2 linked regions of the Drosophila melanogaster genome follow. Each later gene encodes a partner of the first gene's protein in a complex. Each region holds a gene or a part of one and is shown on either strand. Other genes may lie near its edges.

Evidence for each region.
Region 2: ncm (region 1) and Prp38 share a complex: the UniProt entries of both Drosophila melanogaster proteins name them as parts of the spliceosome C complex.

The regions. Positions count from the first base shown.
Region 1 is NT_033779.5:18,443,977-18,450,789, forward strand, and holds ncm (nucampholin), read right to left. Parts: upstream 4,982-6,813; 5' UTR 4,879-4,981; coding exon 4,273-4,878; intron 4,117-4,272; coding exon 2,805-4,116; intron 2,741-2,804; coding exon 666-2,740; 3' UTR 531-665; downstream 1-530. Other genes in the region: bsf (bicoid stability factor), read right to left, coding at 5,658-6,199, 6,263-6,813. UniProt on the Drosophila melanogaster protein: Required for pre-mRNA splicing and for exon-junction complex (EJC) assembly. Hinders eIF4AIII from non-specifically binding RNA and escorts it to the splicing machinery to promote EJC assembly on mature mRNAs.
Region 2 is NT_033778.4:9,142,162-9,145,707, reverse strand, and holds Prp38 (pre-mRNA processing factor 38), read right to left. Parts: upstream 1,753-3,546; 5' UTR 1,581-1,752; coding exon 588-1,580; 3' UTR 557-587; downstream 1-556. Other genes in the region: CG30344 (uncharacterized protein), read right to left, coding at 1-121; shrb (shrub), read left to right, coding at 1,911-2,088, 2,472-2,649, 2,708-2,991, 3,053-3,093. UniProt on the Drosophila melanogaster protein: Required for pre-mRNA splicing.

The DNA.
Region 1 (6,813 bases):
TTTTGTATCGGTGAAAATAAAAATGGAATTATAATATATTCATTATTATAAATGATAAATATTTATAAGTGTTAAAGACCTTATATAGTATATAATCTGGTAATGTTCGTCCGTCTGTTCGTATGAACGAAGTGAAATCAAGAATTATTACAAGCTAGAAGTTTAAAATTAAGCATACTTATTATAAAAACGGAAATTTTTTTGGAAGATGTCCCACAAACATCCCAAATCAGTTATTCTAACAGTTTTGAAAGAGGTTTTAATTAATTTTCATTTTATAAATTACCAATTCCATCAAATGCCAAAAATCTATTGGCAGTACACACATTTTGACCCCCACAATCCGCAAATTGCTGTCACGCCCACAATTTTTTTTTTTTATTTTAATAGAATTTTAAATTTATGTAGTTTGAAAACTTTTTTTTACCCTTCATTTAAATGTTTAGCAATTGTTAGTTGTAAGTTATCTAATGGATATTAGCTGCCTATCTATAAGTATCTCCGTTGTACAAAAAGTTACACAATTGGTTGAAATTTGCATTTGTACATTTATTTTTGTTTTATCGGTTTAGTGGGTTTTGCTTTGTACATGTGTAAAAGTAAAATATTTAACACAAATATTCATCTGCCTTTGTTGGTCACGTCACGTTGTCCAGTCTCCAGATTCAGCTGCGTCCCTTGGAACGGCGTGAGCTGCGCTCCCTTCGCGAACGATCACGGGATCCATCGTCACGCTCTCTTTTACGCTCCCGTTGTCCCTTCAGATCACGATCCCTATCCCGTTCCCGCTCCTTGGCACGACTGCGTTCCTTTTCGCGATCTGACCTCTCTCCACGATCTGATCTCTCTCCACGATCTGATCTCTCTCCACGGTCTGATCTCTCTCCACGGTCTGATCTTTCTCCGCGGTCCGATCTCTCTCCACGATCTGATCTCTCGTTTCTGGAGGAACGGTCACCACGACGACTGTCTTTTTCACTGCGACTACTCTCCATCCGCTTTTCGCGAGGAGCGGAGTTCTCTCTTATTGTTGGTCTTTCATAAGATCGTGATCGATCCCGTTTTCGTTGTCTATCGTGGGCAACTGCATTTCGGTTCTTCCGTTCTTTATCGTATGAACTCTCTCGGTTTCTTTCTCTGTCGTATGAAGAATTCCCCCGCTTTCGTTCTCTATCGTACGAAGAATTTCCCCTGTTTCTTTCTCTGTCGTACGAAGAATTCTCCCGGTTTCGTTCTCTGCCAGTTGAGTTATCTCTGCGCCTCTGGCCATTTCCATTCGGCTGAAAGCGATTTTTGGATCCAGGACCTTCCAAATTAAACTCATCACTATCTTGGGTCCTTCCTCGGAACTTATTTTTTTCGACATGCTCCTGGCGCTTGATCTTCGCCTGAGGCTCAGCGTCACTTTCATCGCTGGAAGAATTCGATGAGTCGGATGATTCGGAGGTGGACTTATCGCTGTCTTCGCTGCCACTGGAATCCGAGCTCTCTTGACTTTTTCTTCTGTGCTTTGATTTCTTCTTGGCAGCCTTCTTTTCCTCCTTCTTACGCTTTTTATCCTTCTCCTTTTCCTTTTTGCTCTTTCTTTGCTTCTCTTTTTCTTTTTCTTGTTCCTTTTCCGCCTTCTTCTTCTTCTTTTTGTTCTTGGTCTTTTTCGACTTCTCTTTAGTCGCTTTCTTAGATTTCTTTTTATCCTTGTCCTTGCGTTTGCGTTTCTTTTTGGGTTCCGAGCTAGAATCGGAGCTTGAAGATTCACTAGAAGAGTCGGAACTGCTGTCCTCTTCACTGGAGTCTTCGCTGTCCGTGTCCGAAGACGACGATGACGAGGAGGACGAAGATGGGGCCACCTTGGTGTTTCCAGCGGGTGCAGAGCCATCTCTGAAAGGATTCCCCCCGGCATTGGCCAGAATTTCAGCATTTATTGCGGGCACAGATTTGGGGGCGTTTTTTAGGAATCTTCTCAAATCGTCGGTGAGACCACCCAAACCAATCGAGGTGAAAAAGTTAATGGAGAAGCGGGTATTCCGTGGATTATCCTTGGGAAACAAACCAGCTATGCTCTCTACCAAAACATCATCCTTCAGCTTGGCATTCAGTTTGCCCAGTCCCATATACTCAGCTAGCTCCTGGAACAGGATTTTTATGAAAATGCGGCTCGATGACGTGGTATCATCCTCGTTCAGTTGGATGCACTCCAGCACATCCCAACTAATGGCGTCCGTAAACAGGAGATGGGCGAAGAACTTGCTGACGTTTCGCAAACGATTTGTGTCCAATCTGTGGGTGGTTTGATAGGTGTCCTTAAAAATCTCCTCGAAGGGCGGTATGTAGATCTTATTGATGTTGCAGAACCGCTGCGCCAGCAGTCCGTAGAACTTCTCGTATGTTCTCTGTTCCGCACAGCAATCGAGAAACATGTGACAGAGCTCGATTTCTTGTCCGGGTTTCAGTTGCATTTTCATCAGTTTATGAGCACACTCCTCATAATCCAAACTGGAGTTGATTGTTAAGTAAATTGTGCGTCGCAGGGCAATCAGATTGGTTTCAGTGCTGTCAATGATGTCGCCAGCCTCGGCTTTCTTTTCCGCATCGGATCCGGATTCTCCATCCGAATCACTATCCGAATCTGATCCGGAGCCCGAGCCTGAACTACTGCCATCGTCGCTTCCCAGGATCTCACGACTTAGGCCTTTGTATTTGTCCTCATTTTCGGCATAATTGTCGTCAAATTTAAAAACATCTATAAAGAAACGTAAAAATTATTAGAGTTCAATACAAACTAAACCTTTCGTAGATAAACTCACTTAGTATATCTTCCGTTTCGGTGGCTTCATCCAGCATCATCAGATGTGTGAACTGATCGTCCTCCTCAACGAGCTCCAGTTCCGGAACAACAGCCTGATGATCCTTAAAGCCATCCTTTCGAATCTGAAACAGCACCTCAATCATGTACTGTACACGCTTGTCCAACTTTCCCTCGTGCAGAATGTTTCTCAGCATCTCGAAGATGGCCCCAATGCCTTTAGACGAAACCTCAGTCAGTTTCATACCACACTCTTTCAGAAAAGCGATGGCTACCTCTACAGAATCGTCCGTTGGCGTTTCCACCAGCAGGGTAAGGATTTCTAGTGCCAGAATCTCATGTGCCACCCTCTGGTTAACCAAATGGCCAATGAATCGAGTGGCCGACATGCAAACCATCTTATCATTGCGTCGGAACGCCCTACGAAATTGGATGACCAGACGTTTGAGGAGGAGCTCTCCTATGTTCGGAAACTTTGAATTTATAATGCTCACCAGAGCGGCGTATACATGGGTGAATGTGGGCGAAGCAGCCTGGGCTTGGATGATGCTCCTGCTTAGTAAGCCCCTTCCCCTCACGATATTCTCTCTTAGAAGCTCTCTGGTGATGATGGCTATATTTGTTACATTCACTTTGTTTATGTAACCATGGATCGATTTCTTGAGAGCCTCCCAAGCAATTCTCTGATAGGCAGCGGATGATTTGTCCGTGATCTGTGACTGCATCATGCGCAGCTTCGCCGGCGGAATATAGGCTCCTCCAGTCCGAGATGTCAGCACATCGACGGTCTTTCGTTGGCGCTCAGTTATTTTGGCTGCCGGTTCGGTTACGGTTTCATTGTCTGCATTAGTTTCGGTGGTTTCGGTGTGGCGTGGGGTCTTTGAGGATTTGGATTTCGGAGTGGAGGAGGATCGATCTCTTTTGCGTTCTGGCGACCTCTTCTTTTCCCTCGAATCATCTCTACGCCTGCTGCTGGTTGGTTCGCCCTTTTGATGGCGCTTTTCTCGCTCCTTGGCTCGCTCTTCATCGCGTTTATCTCGCTCCTCATGACGTCTCTGTCGCTCAACGCGTCTTCTCTCCAAAGAATTGGATCTGCGGCGGATTGGACTTTTACTGCGACTCCGGGTCCTGCTGCCTTTGCTTCTCGAGCGACGACGACGACGGCTGCTGGGTGATGGACTCCTGCTGGATGAGCGTGGGCGTCGTCGTTTGCCATCCGGGCTGCGGCTTTGTTTTCGTTGGGTTTCTTTGGGTGGACTCTTAGATGCGACAGCTTTCTTTTCCTCTTTAGTCGGTAGGTCATCTTCGTCTTTCTAAAAAATGAAAATTTATCATATCATGATGATGAAAAAACTAGCTGATAAATGATTGTGTTGAATTAATTTCATTAATTAAATAATTTGAATTTCATTGATGACGAAATAGTAAAGCGGCTTAATACCGAATTCTACCCAAACATGATGACTTACGTCGGTTATCTCGCCCTCTTCGATGTGGTCCGCAGTGGGAGGTTTCACTGTTTCAGCTGCTGCTTCCACCGGCGATTCCTTGCTACTTCCATTGGTGGTCACTGGCTGCTCTTCATCCTTCCTCCGCTCTTCTAATTCCCGTGCAGCGTTTTCCTCTTGGGCCTTCGGGCTGTTCAGCTCTTTCGTCACACTTGAGGCTTCTGCTTCCTCTTTCCGCTGGACAGGTGTTTCAACTTTTTTCGCTTCATTTAATTTCTCGCTTTCCGCCTCCGCAGCTGCTACTGCTTCTTCTTGCTGCTTTTCCACGCCAGCAGAATGGGAAATGTGCTGGCGCTCCGAACGAGGCTCAGCCGCAGGAGTTTTCTTCTGCTCAGTGGGCTGCTCATCCTGTCCAGCATCCCTCTCCTTGGCACGCTTCTCCCCCCTATCCGTATCGTCAGTTTTCTTGGCATCTTTGGCGGATTCCTCCTGCTTTGCTTCCTCTTCCTCGCGCCCGCTGCTTTCGGAGGACGAGGACTCGCTCCTGGCGTCGCTGTCGCTGCCACTGGAAGTGTCGCTGCTGCTGGAATTGCTGCTCGAATCGCTCTCGGCATCGCTTTCCCCCATCGCGCGTTTATTTCGAGAAATTTTCAGGGAAAACAACGATGAAAATTATTGGGCAGCAAAAAACACAACGCGGCGATAGAATTAGAGATGGGACACCAGTGGCGACGGTATCGATATACACATGTGTTTGACTGCTAAATCGTATCGAAATTGTAGTTTCGATAGTCAGCTATAGAAATGCTAAATGTGTTTTTTAAATTGAACTGAAAATTTAAATTCAAGTTCCACATTAGAAAAAATGATATTTTAAAATTAATTTTATAATATGGCACTATCGTAAATTTTATAGCACAGCGAACCTCAATATTTAAGGGCAACGATTTTTTTACGACTAAAACAGTGTAATATATTTGTTATAACATATTTGGTTCATTGCACTGCAGAAATTTCGAATATCAGCTCGAAAATGGAACAAGGATATGGAACAAGAACATTAAATTTGAAACGAAACTTTTTTTTTTTAGCGATTTTTGGGCTCCAAAACGGGCAATCGTGTTTTACAACATCATGCGTGCTTCCAATTAATTTTAGGATCTGTCTTAAGGGAATGAATTGAACCATTATTTTATTGAAAATTAAAAATGATAGCTTCATCTTGAAAATAGTAAAAAAGATCCTTTATCGCTCAGTTGAATCCCCTAGAAAAATAACTGGCGCACTTTCGCAACAAAACAACTAAATTTATTTTAGTTTACAAATTGTTTATCCATAGTAAATACTTTAAAAATAAGCTTTAATCACGACGGCCTACACTAAACAAGGACCTTTTGCAGAAACCTCTAGGCCTTGCTGTCCGGTTTGGGTGGAACAGTTTCCGGTACCGATGGCGACACGTCGTCGTCGCTGGAGGATGAAGAGGAGGACGAGCTGGAGTCGTCGGCCTTCGTCCGCTTCTCGGGGATCGTGTAGGGGAACTTCTGGGATTTCTCCTCCACCGCCTGTTTCAGACGCAGCAGAGCTGTCCTGTTGATGTTTTCCAAGGATACGTCCTTAATGGCATTGGCCAAGACAACCATGGCCTTGTCGGAGTTGCCCTTGGTAGTCTGGATGTCAATGAGGCAGGAGTACGCGTTTCCGATCGCGCCCTCGGAGATTTTGCTGTTCTTCAGCTGGGAAATGACTGTGGAGGCGAGCTTCTCGTCCTGCTGCTCGCGAGCCGTCTGCAAAACGCGCTGGAACATCAGCCTTGGGGCATTGGACAGGTGCTTATCCCAAATCTCCTTAGAAGCCGCCTCCTGGCCAGTGGAAATCAAATGCATCCACAGGACATTCATGGGTCCTAGTTGATTGTGAGCAGCAAACTTCTCAGCGAGGGATTGATCTGAAAATTATCAGAAAAATTTATAGTTTTAACACTTGTTTAATAGGCATTTCTGGGACCTACATTGCGGCACCAATTCCGGGTGTTTTTCCAAAATGCCAACTGCTCCTCCGCGTGGGAACTTCTCAGCCAGCTTGGTTGACTCCTCGGGAGTTTTGGCCGCATCGATTTCTGTGGTCAAGTGCTTCAGGAACTCCTCCGCCTTTCCGGCCACTATATTGGCATGACAAAACCGATTGTCAAAGGAAATCAGACGCTTCTGCTCGTCATTCAGCTGCTGGCCAATTCTCTGCATTGTTTCCAGATCGCCTGCAGCGGCAATTTTGTTCAGGTAAAACTTGAAGATCTTGGGCTGCGGGTGCAGTTTATCGCCCAGGAGCTCCTCGACATACTTGGTGGCCTCCGTTAAGCGATCAGCTCGAACCAGGAGCTCGATCAGTCGAGAGGTGTCCAAAGCTCCAATTTTCTCGCCACTCAGAACACTTTGTTTATGCGAGATGGCTGCATCTGGATCATTGGCCTGGATTGCCTTGCGGAAGCCGGACAAATGGGAGGCGGTTTTGGGTGGCTTTGCTGTTTCCGTTTTAGCTGGCTCCTTTTTCGCAGCCTTCTCC
Region 2 (3,546 bases), on another chromosome or scaffold:
GTACCGGAGGCGGGTCCACCTGCTCACTGCTGGCCGCAGATGATGCGTCCAGTATGCGTGGTGCCGAATCTTCGCCAGTCTCCACATCGGCCACCAAAGCCTCCGTATCAGAGCGAGGCATACTGCCGTTCCGTTCCGTTCCTACTTGCTCGCTATCGAGAACGGAACTCGTGGATGCGTCTGGCTTACACCAGTCTACCGGAGATAATGGAATTTACAATTCATTCACCAGAACGCTGCGCAGTTCCCTGAAAGTCTTCCAAACGCGACGGAGAGTTTTCAGATACTAAAGCTTCAGCTGCTTTACTGCTGATTAACGTGGATTTATTGTTGCTTAAATCCCTGGTACGTGTATTATTTTCACAAGTACAGCTGGCTGGATTCTCCCGCAGTTAACGTTACTCTATTCGAAACTTTCTAAATGCAAGCAGCAACAGCTGATTGACTTCTTCTTCTTCTGTGTTATTGTTTTGATTTCGATTTTCGATTCTTAGTGCTAGGGATGCCAACTTGCGGCGAATTGAGAGTTTGTGGTTTAAATTTTCTGACACTTTTTACTGGTTAATTAATTCAATTTATTTATAATTTTAGTAGCGTCGTCGGTCACGCTCTCCTCGCGAGTCCCGTTCCCGCTGGTCGTGACGGCCACGGTCACGTTCTCGCTCTCGTTCCCTATCCCGGCGATCTCTGTCGCCGTCCCTCTCGCGCTCCCTGATACTGTCGCGATCTTGGCGCTCTCGTTCGCGATCGTGGCGTCCATTGTTTTGCCGACGGTCATAGTCCTCGTTGTGGGTGTCCCGATTGCGCACCCTATTTCGCTGGCGGTCGTAGTCTTCCAGTTCGTCGTAGTAATCCCGGGAACGGGCGCTGTTGCCCTGCCCAGATCTTCGCTCGCGCTCCCGACTGCGGGACCTTGACTTGGAGCGAACTCTCCGTGGTCGTCTCACTGCTGTCGAATTCTCCTTAGGCCGGTTGGTCTCGTCTGCCTTCTCCTCGTCGCTGGGCAGTTCGTCGTCCAAGTCCTCATCCAGCACTGACACCTTGGGCTCGATTTCGTTGTTTTCCTCGAGAATGGAGCGCTTCTGGATGCGGGGCAGTATAATGTCGCAGACACGGTCGTTGCGCAGCAGTTCGTCAATGTACTCATCCATGTAGACAATCTCGAACTGGCCGGCGCGATTCTGGCGGCGCAGCTTTCGATTGTCTATGTACAACGGCTCCAGGTACTTGTAGCAGTCCAGGGCAGCTCCTGTGAGCCGTAGATAGAAGGCTCCCAATGCTCGAACGTACTTGAACTCCTCGTTCTTGATAAACTCCACTACGATGTCCTTTTCCGGCTGAATCTGCAGCATCTTGAGTGTGAGGCAGAGGAACTGGGTGGGCTTGATGTTGCCGCCGTAGACGCCTCCGACGAATCGCAGCTCCATTGCCTTGTCCACCAGAAGCTCCGCAGTGAGAGCAAAGCATTGCTCCTTCCAGTACTTAGAGTCGTATATCCTCGAACGGATGATCTTCTCGATGAGGTACTGCGGATTGGTGCCGTGCACGTTTTTGGCCTCCTTCACCGTGCGGTTGGCCATTTTCAGTTGAACCCTTGTTCCTTGTCAATCGTAACTCAAATAGGACTTTTCAATCCAGAAATTCGGGTATCTATTGGCAGCAGTGCAAAATGTGAAAATGCACCGAATATATTTATTTATTTTTCGGCGTTTGCTAACCAGAGTGGCCAGCTGCGTAAGGGAGAAATATGCCACTCCGCCAAGCGCATACACAAAGGCGATAACGATAGGGGACGGCAATCGGTATCGGGTGACGCATACGAACAACAGCTCCCAGACAACCAAGAAACGCAATAGCAGAAAAAAACTCACTTGTTCGCTAAATTCGGGTGAAAAAACAGATCAGCCAGGATGAGTTTCTTCGGGAAGATGTTCGGCGGCAAGAAGGAAGTGGCCCCCACCACCGGCGAGGCGATACAGAAGCTGCGCGAGACGGAGAACATGCTTATCAAAAAGCAGGAGTTCCTGGAGGCCAAGATCGAGGACGAACTGAATATAGCCCGCAAGAATGCGTCTAAAAACAAAAGAGGTATGAGAGGAGTGCGCCGAGGTCCTTGGCTTCCTAGTTGGTCACTCAAATGGGCCAAGGGGAAATGACTCATTGCTTTGTTTTTGTTGCGGCCGCGAGGCCTGCTCCCAGTTAATCAGTATCCCATACTGCCAGCAAATAGAAAACTCAATAAACAATATGTATCTCTTTGCCTTTTCACCCGCATACCATTCGATGCCTGGACGTGTCCGCAAATCGCTCAGAACGTAATATAAACATTACTTTTAATACCCAAAACAAACTCAAGCCATGCAGTAGAGTAATTTCAAAGCACGCATTGCGAATTGGCCAAATCATATTTCGGATATATACATAAGCCAGTCCTCGAAACCTTCTAATTCCTCCACTTCTCACATTTTCAGTGGCCCTGCAAGCACTCAAGAAAAAGAAGCGGCTGGAGAAGCAACTCCAGCAGATCGATGGCACCCTGTCCACAATCGAAATGCAGCGCGAGGCTCTGGAGAGCGCCAACACAAACACTGCCGTCTTGACCACGATGAAGAATGCCGCGGATGCCCTCAAGAGAGCCCATCAGAATATGTGAGTCATGGATTTGTGCCATTGTATCAACCAGGAACTAACTTTCACTTTTATGCAGGGACGTGGACAAGGTGCACGACATGATGGATGACATTGCCGAGCAGCAGGACGTGGCCCGCGAGATTTCCGATGCCATTTCGAACCCAGTGGCATTCGGCGCCGATCTGGATGATGAGGATCTCGAGCGGGAACTCGACGAGCTGGAGCAGGAGAACTTTGATAAGGAAATCATTGGCATACCCGAGCCGACGCCCACATTGCCAGAAGCACCCACAGAAGATTTGCCCGAGAAGGCCAAAGAAAAGAAAAAGGCGACAACCACGACTGCCGTGGAGGATGATGGTGAGTTCAGTCACTGCATGTGGATCTACGTTTGGTAATTAACGATTAACTTGCGTTACAGATGATCCAGACATGAAGCAGCTTTTATCCTGGTCCAACTAAATCAGAGAGCTATTGAAATCTCCTTACTGTTCTGAAGATACACCCTATCGTTTTTGTTTAATTTAATAATCAATACTGCTGTTAATTAAGCAAAATTTTAGTTCGAAGCGAGGGAGAGAATACAAGGCATTAATTCCTTTGGCAATTCAACAAATGGTACATAAACTAGGAATGTGATTTTAAAATAAACGAAATAAGCATAGTCAGGCCTCACATGAGCAAAAGTAGGTATCAACGTAGTTTCATATTTGATTTGTTTATTTTGAATAACGCTGATTGGCCATCAGGTGTATGCAGATCTAATATTCCAACAAAGAAATGTAGCTTTTTGATAAAAACCCAAATATGTTTTGTGGCACTCATCTTTCCGCAGTCTTAGCTTTGTATCGAGCGATTCAAACGAAAATAAAAACATGAAGCCTCTCGACTGCAGGTAACTCAGTAGCCGCGAGA